Linked DNA regions of Macaca mulatta. The protein of the gene in region 1 interacts with the protein of each later gene in a biochemical or structural test. Links are inferred from orthologs where the notes say so. Each region holds a gene or a part of one and is shown on either strand. Other genes may lie near its edges.

The links.
Region 2: the proteins of BAD (region 1) and BCL2 form a complex in vitro, tested with the Homo sapiens proteins (5 studies listed by BioGRID and IntAct, with this or other methods). The link is inferred for Macaca mulatta from reciprocal best matches to the Homo sapiens genes BAD and BCL2.
Region 3: the proteins of BAD (region 1) and BCL2L2 interact in a biophysical measurement, tested with the Homo sapiens proteins (4 studies listed by BioGRID and IntAct, with this or other methods). The link is inferred for Macaca mulatta from reciprocal best matches to the Homo sapiens genes BAD and BCL2L2.
Region 4: of the proteins of BAD (region 1) and RAF1, one has a biochemical effect on the other in vitro, tested with the Homo sapiens proteins (2 studies listed by BioGRID). The link is inferred for Macaca mulatta from reciprocal best matches to the Homo sapiens genes BAD and RAF1.
Region 5: of the proteins of BAD (region 1) and PAK1, one has a biochemical effect on the other in vitro, tested with the Homo sapiens proteins (3 studies listed by BioGRID). The link is inferred for Macaca mulatta from reciprocal best matches to the Homo sapiens genes BAD and PAK1.

Annotation. Positions count from the first base shown.
Region 1 is NC_133419.1:10,113,538-10,117,775, reverse strand, and holds the start of BAD (bcl2-associated agonist of cell death), read right to left. Parts: upstream 2,803-4,238; 5' UTR 2,745-2,802; intron 2,479-2,744; 5' UTR 2,471-2,478; coding exon 2,284-2,470; coding exon of another isoform or gene 2,280-2,283; intron 1-2,279. UniProt on the Homo sapiens protein: Promotes cell death. Successfully competes for the binding to Bcl-X(L), Bcl-2 and Bcl-W, thereby affecting the level of heterodimerization of these proteins with BAX. Can reverse the death repressor activity of Bcl-X(L), but not that of Bcl-2.
Region 2 is NC_133423.1:17,764,151-17,767,662, reverse strand, and holds part of BCL2 (apoptosis regulator Bcl-2), read right to left. Parts: intron 2,039-3,512; coding exon 1,904-2,038; 3' UTR 1-1,903. UniProt on the Homo sapiens protein: Suppresses apoptosis in a variety of cell systems including factor-dependent lymphohematopoietic and neural cells. Regulates cell death by controlling the mitochondrial membrane permeability. Appears to function in a feedback loop system with caspases.
Region 3 is NC_133412.1:96,406,138-96,410,172, reverse strand, and holds the start of BCL2L2 (bcl-2-like protein 2), read right to left. Parts: upstream 2,806-4,035; 5' UTR 2,572-2,805; intron 2,457-2,571; 5' UTR 2,369-2,456; intron 1,888-2,368; 5' UTR 1,880-1,887; coding exon 1,448-1,879; intron 829-1,447; coding exon 679-828; 3' UTR 1-678. UniProt on the Homo sapiens protein: Promotes cell survival. Blocks dexamethasone-induced apoptosis. Mediates survival of postmitotic Sertoli cells by suppressing death-promoting activity of BAX.
Region 4 is NC_133407.1:151,425,518-151,429,029, forward strand, and holds part of RAF1 (RAF proto-oncogene serine/threonine-protein kinase), read right to left. Parts: intron 2,643-3,512; coding exon 2,544-2,642; intron 795-2,543; coding exon 641-794; coding exon of another isoform or gene 622-640; intron 41-621; coding exon of another isoform or gene 1-40. UniProt on the Homo sapiens protein: Serine/threonine-protein kinase that acts as a regulatory link between the membrane-associated Ras GTPases and the MAPK/ERK cascade, and this critical regulatory link functions as a switch determining cell fate decisions including proliferation, differentiation, apoptosis, survival and oncogenic transformation.
Region 5 is NC_133419.1:77,888,556-77,892,561, forward strand, and holds the start of PAK1 (serine/threonine-protein kinase PAK 1), read right to left. Parts: upstream 2,809-4,006; 5' UTR 2,752-2,808; intron 2,684-2,751; exon of another isoform or gene 2,186-2,683; 5' UTR 2,023-2,185; exon of another isoform or gene 1,880-2,022; intron 1-1,879. UniProt on the Homo sapiens protein: Protein kinase involved in intracellular signaling pathways downstream of integrins and receptor-type kinases that plays an important role in cytoskeleton dynamics, in cell adhesion, migration, proliferation, apoptosis, mitosis, and in vesicle-mediated transport processes.

The DNA.
Region 1 (4,238 bases):
CAGGCTGGTCTCCATGTCTTGACCTTGTGATCCGCTTGCCTCAGCCTCCCAAAGTGTTGAAATTACAGGTGTAAGCCTCCGTGCCCAGCTTCTTTTAACTCTTACATGCTGCCCCCATACAAATCTTCTCATCCATGATAGGATGCACTTTTGTGCTTGTTTGCTTATGGACCCACCACGTCACTAGAACGTAAGCTCCACGAGGGCAAGGATTCCTGATGCTTGGGTTCACCGAGGTCCCCCTAGCAACTGGAACAACCTGTGTCACATGGTGAACACTCACTCTGAGACACAAGTCAATGCTGAGTGTGTGTGGCGGGGGGCAGAAAGCAGGGGGAGTTTGTGAGCAGAAAAACAGCCAAGTGCAAGCTCAGAAAGTTAAAGAAAGCTGTGGAGGCCGAGCATGGTGGCTCACGCCAGTAATCCCAACACTCTGGGAGGCCAAGATGAGAGGATCGCTTGGGCCCAGGAATTCGAGACCAGGCTGGGCAACAAAGCAAGACCCCACCTCTACAAAAAATAAAAAATGAGCTGGTGTGGCAGCATGTACCTGTGGTCCCAGCTGTTCTGGAGGCTGAGGCAGGAGGATTGTTTGAGCCCAGGAGTTTGAGACCTGCCTGGGCAACAAAAGGAGACCCGCCCCTGCCCTCGTCTCTAATGAAAACATGAAAAATGTCGGGCGTGGTGGCTCACGCCTGTAATTCCAACACCTTGGGAGGCCGAGGCGGGCGGATCACAAGGTCAGGAGATAGAGACCACCCTGGCTAACATGGTGAAACCCTATGTCTACTAAAAATACAAAAAATTAGCCGGGCATGGTGACACATGCCTGTAGTCCCAGCTACCTGAAAGACTGAGGCAGGAGAATTGCTGGAACCCAGGAGGCGGAGGTTGCAGTGAGCTGAGATTGCACCACTGCACTCCAGCCTGGGTGGCAGAGTGAGACTCTGTCTCAGAAAAAAAAAAAAAAGAAAAAGTTAAAAATAAATTAACTAGGTGTAGTCCACACACCTGTATTCCCAGTTACTTGGGAGGGTAAGGTGGGAGGATCGCTTAAGCCCAGAAGTTCTAGGCTGCAGTGAGCTGAGGTCACACCTCTGTACTCCACACCTCTGTACTCCCTCCTAGGTGATAGAGCGAGACCCTGTCTCAAAACAAACAAAACAACAACAACAAAAAAAGAAAGCAAGCTATGGGATCCAATCTGAGAGAATTGAGTGTGTGTGTTTGTGCGTAAGAGAGGGAGGGGAGGCCTCTTAAGCCTTCTTAATCCTGAAAATGGGAAGGAGGTCGTTTAAGCTTCAGTGCCAGAGTGACATGACCTAGTTTTCTATTTTTAGAGATGGGGTCTGGCTATGTTGCCCAGGTTGGTCTTGAATTCCTGGGCTCAAGCCAGCCTCCTGAGCTGCTGGGACTACAGACATGGGCCACCCCACCTGGCTTGACCTGGTTTTTGTGTTCAGAAGATATATGTTGTTGTTCCAGGTGCCAAGGCCAGTGCTGGGCACAGGGGTGGTGGAGCCTACTGAGAAATGGACACTGAACCCCAGTGTCTATCCTTCCATCTTGGAGCCTGTGCTTCCCACCCCACACAGCCCTGCTGTCTGGGAGGACCGTCTGCCCCTTGAGGTCACCTGCCCCTGGCCTTTGTGCCAGGACAGGCCTGCTGTGGGCGCAAGCCTCGGGGCAAGAAAGAACACATCTGGGAGCTGGAAGGCCCAATCCCAGGGAAAGCATGTAGCCTGGGGCAGGGCACCAAGGAGTCTTCCAGCCCCCACCTTCTAAGGAAAGAAATGCCAGGCAGGTATGGCCTTAGGTAGGCCCCTTTTCCTTTTCGGATCACTGCCTGCCTGCCTGTCACTAATTTCTGTCCTGGCCCCACACTAATAGCTGCCATATATATATATACATATTTTAAGAGATGGAGTCTCCCTAAGTCACCCAGGCTGGCTTTGAACTTCTGGGCTCAAGCGATCCTCCTGCCTTGGCCTCCCAAAGTGCTGGGATTACAGGTGTGATCCGTCATGCCTGGCAGCTACCATTTTTTAGCTTTAATGTGCACCAGCTCTGTAATCAAGTGCATCCTATATGTTCCTGCTAATTAACTCAACAGTCCTACAATGGTGGTTATTAATTGCTCTGTTTTACAAAAGAGGAAACTGGGGCTCTGAGAGGTTAGGGACCGACCCAAAGCCTTCAGTGCCCGTGGATACAACTGGGATGCAGGGAGCCAGTGGGCTGGGGGTGAGGTGACCCGGCAGGTGGAGGTGGTGGGGTACTTACCTCCATGATGGCTGCTGCTGGTTGGCTGCTCCTGCTGGTGACTGGCGTCCCACAGGAGGCCTGGGGCCTGGCGATGATGCTTGCCGGAGTCTGAGGGCCTGTCCCCCGCGGGGCTGGGGCCCAGGCCCCTCTCTGCAGAGCTGGAGTCTTCCTGCTCACTAGGCTCAAACTCTGGGATCTGGAACATGCTCTGGGCTATGAGGACAAGATGTTAGGTAGTCAAGGCACAGCTGGGGCCAACGGTGGCCCTGGAAGGCAGAGGTAGGTACCCTTGGCTCCCTCTCCCACCCTAGGGCCCCCAGGCCCGCCAGGCCTCCCGGGCCCTCATTTGTCTGCTGGGTCTGGCCTGGCAGGGAGCTGATGCTGTCGGCTCAGGGCCTCAATCTCCCCTCAGAACCCTGGTGGACCCAGGCCCCTACCCAGGCCCCGCCCCGCCCGTGGTGACGGCGCACAGGTCTCACCCCAAGCCCGATCTCGAGGCCCCTGACCCGGGCCTGCCGCCTCCCTCCTGCACCCCGGGCTCCCGGCCCTAGTTGCTTGGGCAACGGGAACTGTCAGCGACCTGGCCCAATCACCTCTCGGAACGTCACTCGGGTAGGTCCAGAGGCGGGGTCAACCCGGCCCGGCCCCGCCCCCCCGCCGGACCTACGGCTACTCGCCCGCAGCCTTTTTTCTCCCTCCTGCAGCCCTGGTGCTCACATCCTCGCTGCCTCACACCTTGGACGTGTGTGGGAGCAGGAGAGGGATTCTCTGGGGTCCCCATTTGGAACCTGGAGACCCACTTCTGCCAACAAGTCCTTCAGCCCCTCTGGACCTTAGTTTCCCCCCAGTGAAGTGGGGATAGTGACAGCTCCCCCAGGAGCCAGTGAAAACTTTGTGAAGGGAGTGATTACTGCGGGCGAAGGCGCTTGGCACAGCCACAACTGAAGCTCAGCCGTCGGATGCGATTATTGTTGCTATTGTTACCGCTCCGCCTGGACTGGGTGCCCGGTCGGAAAGTCCCGCTCCCCGCTCCTCCTCCCAGGCGTGGAAGCTTCGCGCCGCCCGCCTCGGGGGACACCTCCCGCGCCACCTCGGGGGCACTGGAGATAAGGAGAGGAACCTCCTCCCTGGCTGGGATGGCTGCCCGGGCGCGGGAGGAGGGCCGGGGACCCGGTGAGGGTGGACCGTAGGGTCCGTGGGGGCTTCAGGCCTGGCAGGCGGCCGGCCAGGTGAGCAGGGCCGCGGGCGCGCCGGGGCGGGGGGCGGGCCCGCGCTGGGGATTCGGGGCTCCGCGGGTTCAGGCCCGGGGGCGGGGCCCGGGGGCCATCTTGGCTATGGGCGGAAGTTTTCTTCAGAGGCCGAGGGACGGGAATCCGTTGCCGCCCCCGGCTGGGTGGTACGACCCCGATTTGGGTATAGGAGAGAGGAGCGTGGGAATTGCCGGCCCCCCATACAAGTTAAGGCGGACCGCCCAGGCACAGCCCACCCGGGGACCCCCTGGATGCGGCACGGCCCCCGCAATTCGGCCGCCCTCCAGCCGCCTCCCGTAACCCCGGGCGCCCGCCAGCGGCGCAGCTCGCGCCAATTCTCGTACGGTTTCACGCCGGGTGCGGCGCTGGACTGCGGAGCCGGTCGGGCCCCTGCGCAATTTGCGTAGCGAACAGCGCCCGCGCAGGCGCAGGAGGGGGCGGAGCAGCGGGAGCCGGGGAGCCGGAGCCCCGGGTCCCCACGACCTGAGCCGGCTCTCCCATCAGCGGCCTGAGGACCTGGCATCCGCCTCCTCCCGCCCCTTGAGGCTGGAGAGTGGACGCGGTGGGGGGGGTGGGGCGGGGGGCAGCTTTCGAGAATTACAAGGACAGAAGGCAGAGGCCCTCCCCATCCGCATTACTGGAGGAGAGCCTCCCCCAGCTTGGGGAGGGGGAGAGCGGGGCATTGGGCGCCCCCTGCAGCGGCCGCTGCCCTGACCCGACGGG
Region 2 (3,512 bases), on another chromosome or scaffold:
ACTTCTGCTCACAAATAGTGTATAGGCCATAACTAAATACAATTAAAAAAAAAAAATAAACGCTGAGATGCATGTATTTTTTTAAAGCAGCTTTCGAAATATCAACCACAGCATTAAACACTGAACAGAGTACATTCGAAAGTTAATACAGATAAATGATATATAATGCAATAATGCCACAGAGTTATTCCATCAATGTCTCAAGGCTGATTCTAAACTGGAAGAAAAAAACACAACAAACACTTTCTAGTTTATTTGCTGAAGATGTCACTTCTTTTGTTACTTCTTTATAGTTTCCCACCATTGATTGTTTTTAAGTGCCCCAGGATGTACAGATAATCCCCATATTCCACACCTGGAACTTTTCTTTTTTCTGTCAGGTTTTCAAATAAAACCAAACTACAGTGACAAGATAATGTTTTACATGTAATTCCATAGACATAGGTCAATTAATCCATGACACCTTACTTCAATGCTTCCTTTAGGATTTAAGACCCTCTCCAAAGTCATTTAAAGCCTTGCTTTAAACTGCACAGGTGGGCCACAGCCACACAGCCAACGTGCCATGTGCTATGGCCAAAATGGGCCATGGCCGTTGCCTCTCCTCACGTTCCCAGCCTTCACCGTGTCCCTCTGCTAGGAAGGGCCCAGGGCCTCTGTTCCTTCTCTCTACAGTGATACATGTCTTAAGAAGGGTTGTGGCTCCCATGCTCCACGTGAAAATGGGCCTATCTGGAGGGCCCCAGGGCGACAGGCCCAGCCGCACCCCTCTATTGCTCTTTCTTGACAGTGGAATTCTGAGCTCCGTCAGCTTCCAGACATTCGGAGACGACACTGCCCTGTTGATCATCCCTGGAGGAGGCCAGTGAGGGCCCAGGCTCAGTTTCAGGACCAGGCCTCCAAGCTGGGATGCAGGCAGGTTCTGCGGACTTCGGTCTCCTAAAAGCAGGCACTTGTGGCGGCCTGATGCTCTGGGTAACTCTAGCCTTCCTGATGCTGAAGTCACCGAAATGTTTACTTCCTCAAGTTCCAGAGGATTATGTTCCTACTCAGACAGAGCCAGTATTGGGATTTGGGGGGTGCGTATCCAAAATATAAGAATATACACAATCAGGGCTTAAGGTACTGGATGATACTGTATAAATTGCTAAAATGCTTCTCGGCACAATTGGTAGCTTAAAAAAATACTTTCCTATGATTTAAGGGCATTTTTCCCATCGCTGTCCTTCGGTGTGGAAATCTCAGTGGGTACCAGGTCCATCTGAAGTTCCCAAATCTTTTCCTCCCACCAGGAATGCGTCATGTGAGTCATATGCAAAGAGTCTCTTCTTCAGACCAGGGAGGCATGGACTTCCCCCCAGGAACCCTCCCTCTGTTAATATCACAGCCCCCAGGGCAAAGACATACAAGTGAATGAGCACCTTCTTCCCAGCCTCCAGCAGCCAGAAAGCCAGCTTCCCCAACGATCAGGTCCTTTTTCCATACATCTGCTCTTCAAATGGTGAGTTAGTCTGGCCAACAACACAGAAAGCGAATCTGTGTTTACAGGCACAGCACATCCAGGTGGAGCCGCACGAAGCGGTGCTTGGCAATTAGTGGTCGGATTTCCAAAGACAGGAGTTTTGATGGGACTGTCTTAAATAAATAAATCTTTTTTTCTTAATAATGTAAAAAATAAACGATATTTCCCTTTGGCAGTAAATAGCTGATTCGACATTTTGCCTGAAAATTGGTGTGTGTGTGTGTGTGTGTGTGTCTGTCTGTGTGTGTGTATGTTTATATGTGTGTTATTTTTTCTTAAACAGCCTGCAGCTTTGTTTCATGGTACATCATTGACAATGCATATCATTTCTACTGCTTTAGTGAACCTTTTGCATATTTGTTTGGGGCAGGCGTGTTGACTTCACTTGTGGCCCAGATAGGCACCCAGGGTGATGCAAGCTCCCACCAGGGCCAAACTGAGCAGAGTCTTCAGAGACAGCCAGGAGAAATCAAACAGAGGCCGCATGCTGGGGCCGTACAGTTCCACAAAGGCGTCCTGCAGTTGGGGTAGAGGAGGAAAGAAAAAGAAAGAGTATTAGAAAGAGAGCAGAGAATGCCACCCCACAGAGAAAAAGGTATCCTGCCAGGGCAGCCTGGGCACCTTCAGAAGGGCGAGAGGGGAAAAGGCAAACGCTCTTTGGAGGCCATGATTCAGAAACCACTGTTTTCATTAATTCAAGACATATTTATTGAGAACCTATTTACATGCCAGGCATCTTAGAGATACAGCAGTGCATAAAATAGACTAAAAGTTCCTACTTCACGAAGCTTCCATCTAGTGGAACAGTATAGACAGCAATGAATATAATTTATCACATGGTGTAGGAGAGAGTGCTAAGGGCCGAGGAGAAAAACAGCGGAGGCAGTTAGAAAATATTAGAGGTTCTGCAGTTTTAGCTAGCACGCCCATCCACAAAAGTAATAAAATGTAGCAGTGATGATGACTGTCACACTCCTTGATTGAGTGTTGACGTCTTATCAAATGTCTGACATACATTATTTTAATCTTCGTACCAAACTTTTTTTTTTTCTTTAAGAGCTAGAGTCTTGCTCTGTTGCCCAGGCTGCAGTGCAGTAGTGCAATCATGACCCACGGCAGTCTTGAACTGTTGGGCTCAAGAGCGATCCTCCTGCCTCTGCCTCCTGACTACCTAGGATTATAATGCTTGGCTAATTTTTAAAATTTTTTGTAGAGATGGGGTCTTACTATGCTTCCCAGGCTGGTCTTGAACTCCTGGGCTCCAGTGATTCTCCTGCCTCAGCCTCCCAAAGTTCTGGGATTAAAGTTGTGAGCTATCTCATCCAGCTAATTCTTTGTACCAATGTTACTAAGTTATTTTATTTGTTTCTGTCTGAAGATGAAAAAGCTGAGAATCACAGGGAATAAGAGACTTTTCTAACAAATGGCATAGCCAGGCTTTGAACCCAGATAGAAACCAGCACCCTTCTCTCTGCTGATGCCCTGGCATGGCTAACGGCAGCTCTGTGAGAGCATTTGGTCGACCGAGGGCTCAGGCGGTGGAGGGGCCAGGGCGGCCTCGACTGGTGCAGTGCCAGCCTCTAAGGTCAAGGTTCTCCCAGGGAAAGGGAGAGGGTTTCTCTTGGGGGTGGCTAGACTGAACGACCACACTCAAATTGTGGATCTCACAAGGCATGAGATCAGGGGTGTGTCACTGGACGTGCAGGTCCGAGAGACAAAGAGGGTGTCTCCCTTCCATTCCTATCTCTCCATCTCAAGTCAGGTCTGTAGTGTTGTAGCAGAGTCCACTCTCTGGATCAGCTTGGATTGGGCAAATCACTGGTTGATCATTTCCTAGATTTGGGGGAGATTATGTGTCACATTTGGGTCCAATGAGTATTTGGACAACTGAATATTTGAATATATACATCAGTAAAGGAATTCTTTTTAGTTCTGATTTATTCAGGTATGAAGAAAACAAGAATAGTTCCACATTATTCCCAACAACCCT
Region 3 (4,035 bases), on another chromosome or scaffold:
AGCAGCAGAGCCCTCGGTCTGGATACAATGTTTCTCTCTAAGCCTTGAGGCATCAGGACAAGGGCAGGGGAAAGGAGGGGTTGGGAGGAGGGACAGAGAACTGCCCCTAGTTCTTGCCATTGCAAGAGGGAATGTTTTCTCCTTGAGGAATCCCACCACCACCAGATTTGCCAGGCAGCCCAGCATGCACACCAGCATGCGTGCACATGCACACGTGTGTCCAAGCAGCCCACTGTTACAGCCACCTCTCCCTATCACCTGAGAACCCCCAAGCTTCCATTCCAAAAGGATGTGCCTTCTGCGTTCCCCAAATCCCACTCATCTAATGGAATACAACTGCTTATGCAAGTCCACCTTCCTCAGGGCTGCAAACCAAGTTCCAGGTCATTTCATGTGCCCACACCTATAGGTGTGATCCCTCCCACATCCCCCAGCCCTGGATCGACTCCATCTCCTGCGTCCCTAAACTTGCCAAAACATTTCCCTCACCTATGTGTCCTGCTCACTCTTCCAATCGCCTACCTGGCCTACTCAGCTGCCTCACACACTACCCTTCCCCTGCCCATCCTGTTCCATGCCCACCCATCCACCAACTCCATTTCTTCCAAGGGCATTTCTCTGTTCTGTTCCTGCTCTCCTGGCCCCCAGCCACACCTAGCCCCACCTGGCCCTGGACTTTCACTTGCTAGCAAAAAAGGCCCCTACAGTTACCAGGGCCCCCAGTGCCACGGCCCCCGTCAGCACTGTCCTCACTGATGCCCAGTTCCCCTCCCGCAGACGCCGCGCCTCCTCCAGGGCCCCGTCCCCGTATAGAGCTGTGAACTCCGCCTGTGGGAGAGAAGGGAAGTAGGAGAGAAAGAAGGAGAAAGGGATATCAGGAGAGGAAAGAGTGGACAGAAGAGGAGAGGAAGAGTTCCAGTTCCATCCACTGCCAACACTACCCCATACCCAGCTCCTCTCTGGTCAAAGCTCTTCTGGCTGCAAGCCCCTCTGATCCCCCCAGGTGCACCCCCACCCTGAGAGACTGGTTCATTTGCCGCCCACTCTGCCTCCAGTGAATTCCATCCTTTCCTTGGCGAAAAATTCTGCTCAGAACTAGCATCCTTTGCCAAGGCTTGCCTGACCACCACCCATCCCTGGTCCTCCCCACCTCCCACACCATGACTCAGGTGCAAAAAGTCCCTGACAACATTCCCCTGCAGGCACTCCTTGGGTGTGGATTCTGTCCTCTGCTTGGGACCATGAGCCCATCCAGTGTTGACTGCATGGCAGCCCTGGAGTGCAGAGTCCAGGCATCTCTCAATCTGATTCCACCCAGACGGGGAGACTCAGCCCCGCACCTCATTCCCAACATAGCTGCCTCAGTCTCCAATCAGAGCTCCCATCTTCCCCCTGGAAACCAGCTTTGCAGAGGGATGTGCAGAGCGGCAATTGAGAAGCTTCTTACCCAGCCCCCACTGCTGTGGATCCAGTCAGCCAGCCGCGTCTCCAGGTAGGCCACCATCCACTCCTGCACTTGTCCCACCAGTGGTTCCATCTCCTTGTTGACACTCTCAGCACACAGTGCAGCCCCAAAGACAAAGAAGGCTACAAGGCGGCCCCAGTTGGGGCCCCCTTGGAAAAGTTCATCGGAGACCTGGGTGAAGCGTTGCTGTGCTGAGCCTGGGGTCACATGCAGCTGAGCCGCCAGATCAGAGAAGGTGCGCCGGAAGCGGGTCTCGAACTCATCTCCAGCTGCCCGCATGGCTTGGTGCAGCGGGTCAGCTGCTGGGCCCTCCCCGGGGCCAGCTCCACAGACATAACCCTTCTGCCTCAGCTTATAACCTACAAAGTCTGCCACCAGAGCCCGTGTGTCTGGGGCCGAGGCTGGGGTCGCCATCCGGGCAGCTATAAGAGGCAAGGATGAAACACTGGCATGAATATATGGAGAGAGAATCAGAAGGGGCATTTCTGGTTTGACCAACCCAGTGAGATGAGGAGGAGAGAAGAAATGCTCAGAGCTCACTGGACAGGGAGAGGCAAGAACAAGGGAATTAAGTCATGATATGAGACCAGGCTGTGAGGGGCTGGCCATTACATTCCTAATATGCCAAATTACATTTAAAACAAGTACATTTTCTGTTTAGAGATACTTTAGATTCTTTTCATAATAAGACAACGTCAGCTCTGTGACACCCCTACAACCCTCCCACCCCTGGGCCTCCTTAGTCCACACCTCCTTGGCTAGAGGAAGGGGCTTAGGACCTCCCCAAATGCAAGATATAAAGATGTTGGCAGAGGCACAAGATGAGGGGGAGCAGATGGGCCGAAGAGAAAGGTGGGAGACGCAATGGTTTACTCCAGACAGAGAAAGGAAGGAGACACTCACCCAGCCGGGATGGCAGCTCTTAAGACACAGCACTGGTGGCAAGGAGCCCCCAGCTGGGGCCTTTCATCCTCCCGGCCAGCGTGGAGCTCTGGAAAGGGGAGGGGGAGATCAGAACCAGGAGGGGAAGGCCAGGGATCAGGTTCTGGCCTGGGAACGGCTAGGGTTGCAGCTCTGGGCCTGGGCCCCTGCCCCCAACGCTCTACCAGCTGTGTGGCCGAATCCATGTTTAATGACTGTCCTCCCGGGAAACCCAGGGCCAAGGGCTTCCTGCCGACACCATCTGTATTCGCGGTTCCCCCTAGTGCAGCCCAAAGGCCCAACTCCTCCCTTACCCCCACCTCAGCCAGTCTCCAACCCCGCCCGCCTGCCAGGTTAGGGATCTCACGGGTCAGGCCGCTGCCGGGATCCGGGCCGTTTCCTGGTGCAGGAGCTGGGAGGGAGGGAGAGAGGGAGGAAGGGAGGGAAGGAAGGAGGGAGGAGAAAGGGGGGGCAGAGGGAGGGCCCGGCGCCGGGTGATGATGGGGCCCAAAGATGCGTCCAGAGAGAGGGGCGGGGCTGGGACGCAGGCCTGCGAAGGGCCACTACTCAGGAAGAGGGAGGGCTGCTGAAGGCAGTGAAGGGCTGCCTGAGAGGGCACGGTGGGCTGGGCTGGGCTGGGCTCCTGAGCCTCGAGGCTGCCCAGAGAAATATGCCGGACTTCAGGACATCTTGGGGCAAATTTAGCATTTCCAGGAGGTTTCCGATGTTCCATGCACTTGTTGAACTTTTCCAGCCCTGAATTGTGTGCCTGGAAAACAGGAGCAGTTCCCATTAAGCTGGGAACCGTCTACTAGGTGCCTTACCCTTTTGGGACTAGCAGACACTACACAGACACCAAACCTTTCCCATCTTTTCTCCAGGACCTTTAACCCAGTGTTGTCTTTGTGGGCTGGGCTTCAGCCAGGCATCAAGGAGCCAGGACTTGGATCACAAGCAGTTTCTTCCGGTACTTTTCTTTAATTCATCTTCTTTTGTAATCAGATTGATTTTAGTGGTTTTTTTTCTTTCTTTCTTTTCTTTTTTTTTTACCCAACACAGGAACTAATTCTCATTGTGAAAAAAATCAAACAATAAAGAGGTATGGAGTAATAAAATACAGGTTCTCAAACACACACACACATACACACCCAATTCCACTTCCCTCCCTGCAGGTTGCCATTGTTAAGCTTGATGTTTATCCTTCCAGATTACATATACATGGGGCCATTATTTATACATGGCAGTATATTTATACAGGGCGGGTCACAGGTGTGAAGCAATCTGACCACAGCTGATCCACATGAGAGCACTCACAGCCAGCCCCCTGGGCTCTTGGATCTGGCACTTTCTTCAGCTCCATTTAAAAAGCAACCCAACCAAAGGCCAGAAAGAGGCGACCCAGTTCTCCTCTTCTGCTAGTACCCTTTGCTTCTACCTCCAAACCAAGCCTCTGTATTACCATCTGCCCTTATGGTCACTTGAGAAGTAAGGTCTTTTCTGCAGCAATAATAGTAACAACTAGCTGGGTTTGGTGGCTCACACCTGTAATCCCAACACTTTCGGAGGCCAAGGCGGGTGGATCACTTGAGGCCAGGAGTTTGAGACCAGCCTGACCAACATGGCAAAACCGCATCTCTACTAAAAATACA
Region 4 (3,512 bases), on another chromosome or scaffold:
GTCTGGACCACGCCCTGGGAGAAGCATTCAGGCTGTTATTCTAGTCCAAAGCAATGAGAAATAAAGAAGAATAAAGAACAAAGGAAGTATTTAAGTGTATTCAGTTGTTATTAAAGATGAAGCAGAAAGCAAATTAAACCAATAGGACATAACCAAAAAGCCAAGAAAAGAAAAAGCAGTTCAAAAACACTAGCTTTGGGCACTTGGACATCTCCCTAAATACCTGCTTATTAAATCCTAGGACTCCACCCTTTTATTTCTAAATAAAATCACAAAAGTCTTCCAGAGAATCTGTAGTTCTCCATCACTGTTATTTTCTGTCCCACACCAAAATTAAACTCCTCTTTAAATATCTTAGGCACTCGTTCATTAAAAGCCTATTCAAATCTGATAATGGGAAGAGTTCAAATGTTAACATATTTTTCAGGAAATTTTAGTTCTCCACTTGAATGATATACCAACCAGACTATTCAGCCAGTCTAAAGATATTATGGATATAAAATAAACTGTAAAAGTCCAGAGACCTGAGAAAGTGTTGCAACATTCTTTGATCAGATTTGAAACCCAAAACTCTCTGAAATAAATATCACCCTCACCCCATTAATTGACTGACATTACCACCCCCAAGGGGCCCTATTACCTCAATCATCCTGCTGTCCACAGGCAGGGTGGTGCTGACCATGTGGACATTAGGTGTGGACGTCGACCTCTGCCTCTGGGAAAGGGAACCTTCAGATGAGGGACTGGAGGTGTTAAAGGTGAAGGCGTGAGGTGTAGAATACCTGTGCTGAGAACTAGGCAAGGAGGAGAAAGAAAATTCCATGATTGGCATTTAGGCTTTCATACTGGTGAAGTCTTTCAACTACCTACTTGATTAAGATGCTTAAGGGCAAACTCTACCTGTACAACCTTTGACACAATGTTTGATTCTTTCAAATATGTGACATCTAAAAATTATCTTAAGTCTGGGTGCTTTTGCATACAAAATTTGGAACAGGAAATAATATATGTATTGGGAATTCAATGAAAAAGAGAATGTATTGTAAGTTTTCTTTTTTTTAATAAAGCGCCACCCGAATACTCCAAATTTTCACATCTTCTCCGGGAAAGAATAGATTAACATTTGACAACCACACTACCACTTATTAAGCTAGTTGAAACGTGCCCAGTTTAATTTAGAGACTAAATTTGAGAACTTTAAGATTTTAAACAGATAAGTAGACGTGCTGAGCATGTCTGCAAAAAGGCCAGACGTTTTCATTATTTGTTCTAAAGATTAGTTTGAGGTTTGTTCAGATTCAGTTAACATCCATGTATGAATTAAAGGGATAAAAGGCCAGCTTTTCTAAGGGAAATTGTTCTATTGTCTTGAAAAAATGCCTTCCCACATAATTCTGTTTATGGCTTCAGAGGCCTGGTTTCTTCTAATCTTCAGAGGTAACTACAAACTCTTGGTCAGATCTGCTTTTCAAATTATCAAGAAAAATAAAAGTCATACACAAATATATATCCAGACATATGCAAATTCCTTATTCTGACATATGCTGCCTTTAATAATTTCCATAGTAGTTTCACATTAAACATTATCTGATTACACATTATGTGTGTGTGTGTGTGTGTGTGTGTGTGTGTGTATTTTTTGGAGACAGAGTCTTGCTCTGTCACCCAGGCTGGAGTGCAGTAGTGCCATCTCAGCTCACTGCCTACCAGGTTCAAGATTCTCCTGCTTCAGCCTCCCAAGTAGCTGGACCAAGAGGCGCATATCACCACATCCAGCCAGTTTTTTGTTATTTTTAGTAGAGATGGAGTTTCACCATGTTGGTTGGCCAGGCTAGTCTGGAACTCCTGACCTCAAGTGGTCCGCCCACCTCGGTCTCCCAAAGTGCTGGGATTACAGGCGTGAGCTACCATGCCTGGCCTAAAGTAAGATATTTTGGATGTAGATTTTACTTTAGGTTTCAAATTCATGTGTGTAACACTGAGCAATATGTGAACTGAACAAAACTGATTGTAAAGCTGGAAAACAGAGTAAAGACAAGTTATATGCAAACTCAGAGACACATTAGAAACAATATTTATGCTGAAAATATAACTAAATGTTTTTTAAAGACACTAGTCTATTTAAATACATGGTTTTAGCAAATGCAAGGCCATAACATGCATTTCAAAGTTAAGGGTTTTATTTTTATTGAATCACTGTATCAAGTTTTGGGACCCTTTCCATTGAGGTTGAACTCAGTACATACTGAGGAAAGTAGAATCTCAAGCTCTTTAAAATGTAATGACATATTAAGGAATATGCTACGATAACAGAAGAAACTATAGTCAAAGTCACTTTCCAGAATATAAGATCTACAGATCCATAAAGAGAAATTTCTACATTTTGCTGTACCACCAGTATCACATTCCACAGAAGCAGCAAGGGATTTCCACATAGAGAGGAGGGAATGTGAAGAAACTCTTATTTTTTGTCTTTGAGCTTCCAACCCCACCTCCCCCCCCCAATAACTTTCTAAAAGAAAAGCTATAGGTAAAAAAATTACCTAACAGGCATCCTGGAAACAGACTCTCGCATACGACGCATAGTCAAAGAAGGTAGTGCTGGGACTCCACTATCACCAATAGTGGAATTTGGAAACAATCTAAACAAAAGCAGGGAAAGACTGGTTTTTAGGCTTACAGTAATCTTACAGAGACAATCAGCGTGCCTTGCTTTTGCAAACTCAGAGCTACTAAAACTGAACTTTTCCCAGTCACATTTTCCTCAACTGTTTTACATTACCTAGAATAAAGGGAACAATTTCCAAATAACTGGGTTTGAATGATTATTGAATGTGAATAATACTGACCTGCCAATAAACATACGGGCTCCAGTGTGCTTTTTCTTTTTTATTTTCTTTTTTTTTGTTGAGATGGAGTCTCGCTCTGTTGCCCAGGTTGGAGTGCAGAGGAGCAATCTTGGCTTACTGCAGCCTCCGCCTCCTGGGTTCTCCTGCCTCAGCCTTCCAAGTAGCTGGGATTACAGGCACACACCACCACGCCCAGCTAATTTTTGTACTTTTAGTGGAGACAGGGTTTCACCATGTTGGCCAGTCTGGTCTCGAACTCCTGACCTCAGGTGATTCACCCGCCTCAGCCTCCCAAAGTGCTGGGATTACAGGCGTGAGCCACCACGCCCGGCCCAGTGTGCATTTCTAGGAAATACTGGTCCTATGTCTAGCTATATCAAAATAATGTTTTTCAAACTACAGTAGAACATTTTACAAACTATGTCACACAGAGCTTTTCTGGAAACATTCCATCTTGAAAATAGATAAAAAGACTAAAATAGGAGGAATAAATCACAGAAAAGTGAGTAATTAGGCACCTTCTTTCCATGAGCTGGGCACTTGTCAGCAAGCCTCATAAGAACAATGCAAGGAAGGTAATATCCCCTTTATTCAGACGCATGAACGAAAACTCAGTTGTGGTTATGGTTAATGACAATAGTGAGATTCTGACATACGTCTGTT
Region 5 (4,006 bases), about 68 Mb from region 1:
CGCAAAGGCCCAACAAGGACACCTCCACAGGCAGGTAAAGGGTGGAAGGGAAGCATCCAGGAAGAAAACAGAACATGCAAAAGCGAAGATGAGAGTGGCAGGGGAGCCACAGAAAGTGAGGCTGCAAAGGCAGGCAGTGGTCTGATGCCTGAGAGTTTCTTATTCCATGTTAGTCTGAAATTTATCTTCAGAATATGAAGAGTCAGGGGTAGGGGGCATTGATGTGGTAAGGTTTTGTTTCACGGAAATCTTTCTGGATGCACAGTACCTTCCTTTGAGGCACTGCTTCCTTCAAACCTAGCACAGGGACTCAAAACATGCGCTTAGTAAATGTATATTGAATTGAACTGAACAAGCTTTTTACCAAATGCCCTCTTATGGATGAGGCAGGTCACCTTCCCTGCAGGACTCACTTTGGCCAAGAGAAGACTTGTAAAACAGGTCCAGCAGCCTCAATTATTGCACACTACTACCTGTACAACTGGAGTCCCCCAGAGATTAGGGCAGACCTTCATTGTTTACTTGTCTACCTCACCCATTAGACTTTGAGCTCTTTGAAGACAGGGAATATCTTAATAGACTGAATCCCCATAGCCTTAGCAAGAGGCCTGAAACATAGTAGCTCTCCAAACTCCAGTAATGTTGGATAAATGAATTGACTGAATTAGCAAATTCACCAAGGCAGACACATGAGTTCATGTAGTTAAGCGTATGGATAAACTTCAGGGAAAGTATGGGAAGTTTTCAGCGTCAATGTTCCCAAAACCCTTTTTGAAAGGCATAGTTGCTAGTTGGGGGGGGGGGGGTTCTACGCACGTGATTTAGAATTTTCCAAATAGGAACCAAAATGTTGTAAGTGCTGTGGTAGAAATCTCACCGGGCCAATGGGAAAAAGTCAGTTCTGTCTGAGAGGAGGGACAGGATGGAGGCCAGCAAAGATTTCACAGTGTGGGAATTCTTCAGTGGACTCTTGAAAGCTGAGTTGGTGCTTGCTACCTGCCCGTTTTGGGGCATAAAACCAAACTTCTGGAGCTTTTAAGGCTGGAAGTGACCTGCTCAAGGTCACACAAGAAGTAGATGAAGCCACAAGGTAAGAGATGAGGTATCTGTACTGATAATTCCTACTTTCTCCTGACAGAGTTGAAAGAGAACCCACAAATGTAGGAGGCAAAATTAAAGATTTTTCTCAAGAACAATTCTTAAAGTCAAGACTAACGAATTGAATTTTTATTAGTAACCACAGAACTAACCCTTCCCTTCACTGTTCAGTTTTTGTTAAGAGTAGAACAATTATCCAAGGGGTTTAAAAACCAAGGACGTTGCTCACAACCCACTACTTCTCAAGTATTCTTCCAAAACATTCCCAGTAATGTGTATTGTTGAAATAGGATAGCGAAGACTACAACAATCATGTCTTTTCAAATGGATTAATGAACATAAAATAACTATAAATCTCCTTTCCCGGTTGTTTTTCACTTCCCAAGTTACAGAATATTCCGCGGTGGGGGAGGGGCTGCGTAAGTCAAGTCCTACCAGCCCTTATTTTTCAGGGAGTAAAACCCTAAAGGTGACTGTCCAAGCCTAGAAGGGGTCATTTATTCCATGCAGAAGGAACTGGGGCGCCGCTTTGCTGTGCCTCCTCGTAGTGGGACAGGGTGAGCTCTGCAGGACTGCAAAGTTCGGAAGGGACTCGGTCCCGGACCGGTACCCGTGGGGGCTCCCGGCCCCAGCCTGGCCTGGCCCCGCCCCGCCCCTTCCCTCTCCCGGGTCTCTCGATCGCCCGGCGTCTGAGACCCGCGACCCCGCCGGTGAGCGCACGGGGGGCCTTTGTTGGCCCGACGGGAGCGGGCCTCGCTGGGCGACGCCCGCCTCACCTTACCTGGAGCCTCCGCCGGCCCAAGCGCCCGGCCCCGCCACGCGAGATAAATGGGCCCAGACCCCTACTCCACCCGTCCGCACCCCCGCGCCCCAACCCTGGCAGCCCGGGACGCGAGGGGTACCGGGCGGGAGGCCCGCTCTCACCTTCCGCGCTCGCTCAGCTCCTCTCGGCTCCTCCTCCTCCTCCCGATGGTGGGTGCCGCCGAGCCGGGAGTGAGGGCGCGAGTGTGTGCGAGCTACCGCTTCACTTTCTCCCTCCTGCCGCCGCCGCGCCGCCAGTGCCGGGGATCCCCTCAGGACAGGGGAACTGCGAGGGAAGGGATGATGGGGGGGCGGCAGGGAGCGAGGCGACGCGGGGCGGGGGCAACGGTGGGGGGCTGAGGGGCGAGGTGCGAAGAGCTCGGATGGCCTCTGAGGCAGGAGATGGGAACTGGATGCGGAGACCAGGTTCTTCGAGGGGGCTCACGAGAGCGCGGGGCTCCGTGAAAAAGGGAATAAGAGTCCGAGGGGGAAAGCGTCTATGGAGGAGGACGGCGGAGCCTGCGAGGGAGGCGCAATAGGCGAACGAGGGGGCGGGAGCGTGTGGGGGAAGCCGTGAGGGGGCGTCTACTGTGCAGCCGCCACCTTCGGCTCCGGCTGCAGCCGCGGCAGGGCCGCCTCCCCCGCCTACAACTGCGCTATTGTACGCCGCTCGGCGGGCCTGACCGCCTAGTTCACTGGCTCCCCTCCTCCTCCTTCTTCCCCCTTACCCCCGCCCTTTCCCCCTTCCCTCCCCCCCGGCCTTTCCCCCTCCCCGGCGCGGCGGTGGCTCCGGCGGAGCCGTGCCCGCCCCGCCTCCCGCAGGTGGGAGGGGGCGGGGAGCGCCTGACCGACCCGTAGGAGCGAGGCCAAACCCTGGCCTGCAGAAGGGCGAACGCCTGGGATTGCGTCATCGGCGCGTGACGCCAGAGGCTGGGGAATCACCCGGCTGCTGCGTGACGTCATCGCGTCGCGTCACTCTTCTCGGTCCGCTGTCCTTGGCCGGCAGTTTCCGTGCAGCATTTCTACCAGACAATTTTGGGACTATTTCTGGGAGGGCTAATGGTGTAGCCAGGATGGAGAAAGACGGCTAACTTCCGTGGCTGAGGATCCTCTTCAGGTTAACGAAGCACCACCGCATCTATAAACTCGTTGTCAAGGGCTGAAGTTGAAAACTCTCCGACGTTGTGTGATCGCAGAGCCAGACGTGTATTATGTTTTCTTTGTGTGGGAGGTGGGAGAGGGGACGGGGATGGGAGGAAGACAAAGAAATTATAACGGAGAAGTTTGAACTACTGTGAACTGATATAGGATTGTGAATTGATATAAACAAGAGTTAAGTTCCTGTGGCATATTTCTGGTCACAAGACATCACCAAACTTCTAAAGAACAAAACACCTCTAATATCAAACATTGACATCAATGTGACTTATACATACATTTAAGAAAGATTAATAAAAAGAGGCCAGACCAGGTGCCTTGGCTCACGCCTGTAATCCCAGCACTTTGGGAGGCCAAAGTGGGCAGATCGCTTGAGCCTAGGAGTTTGAGACCAGCCAAGGTAACATGACAAAACCCCATCTCTACAGAAAAATAAAACCCAAATACAAAACATTAGCCAGGCATGGCAGCACACACCTGTAGTCCCAGCTACCCAGGAGGCTAAGGTGGGAGGATCACTTAAGCCCGGGAGGTCAAGGCTACAGTAAGCCATGACCACACGTCTTTGCACTTCAGTCTGGGCGACAGAGTGAGACCTTGTTTCAAAAACAAAACAAAAAACAAAAGCCTGGGCACAGTGATTCATGCCTGTAATCCCAGCAATTTGGGAGACCAAGGCAGAAGATCACTTAAGCTGAGGAGGTCGAGGTTGAAGTGAGCTGTGATCATGCCACTGCACTCCAGGCCAGGAAACAGAGTGAGTGGAATAAACAGAGTGAGTGGAATAAATAAGTAAGATAAGTGTCTCAAAATAAACAAGATCATTATTTACCCAATTTTTCCAGTTCAGGGTTGAGAGTGGCTAGAGCCTATCCCAGCAGCTCAAGGTGCAAGGCAGGAACCAACCATGTATAGAATGCTACACTATTCCAGGGTGCACTCACATGCA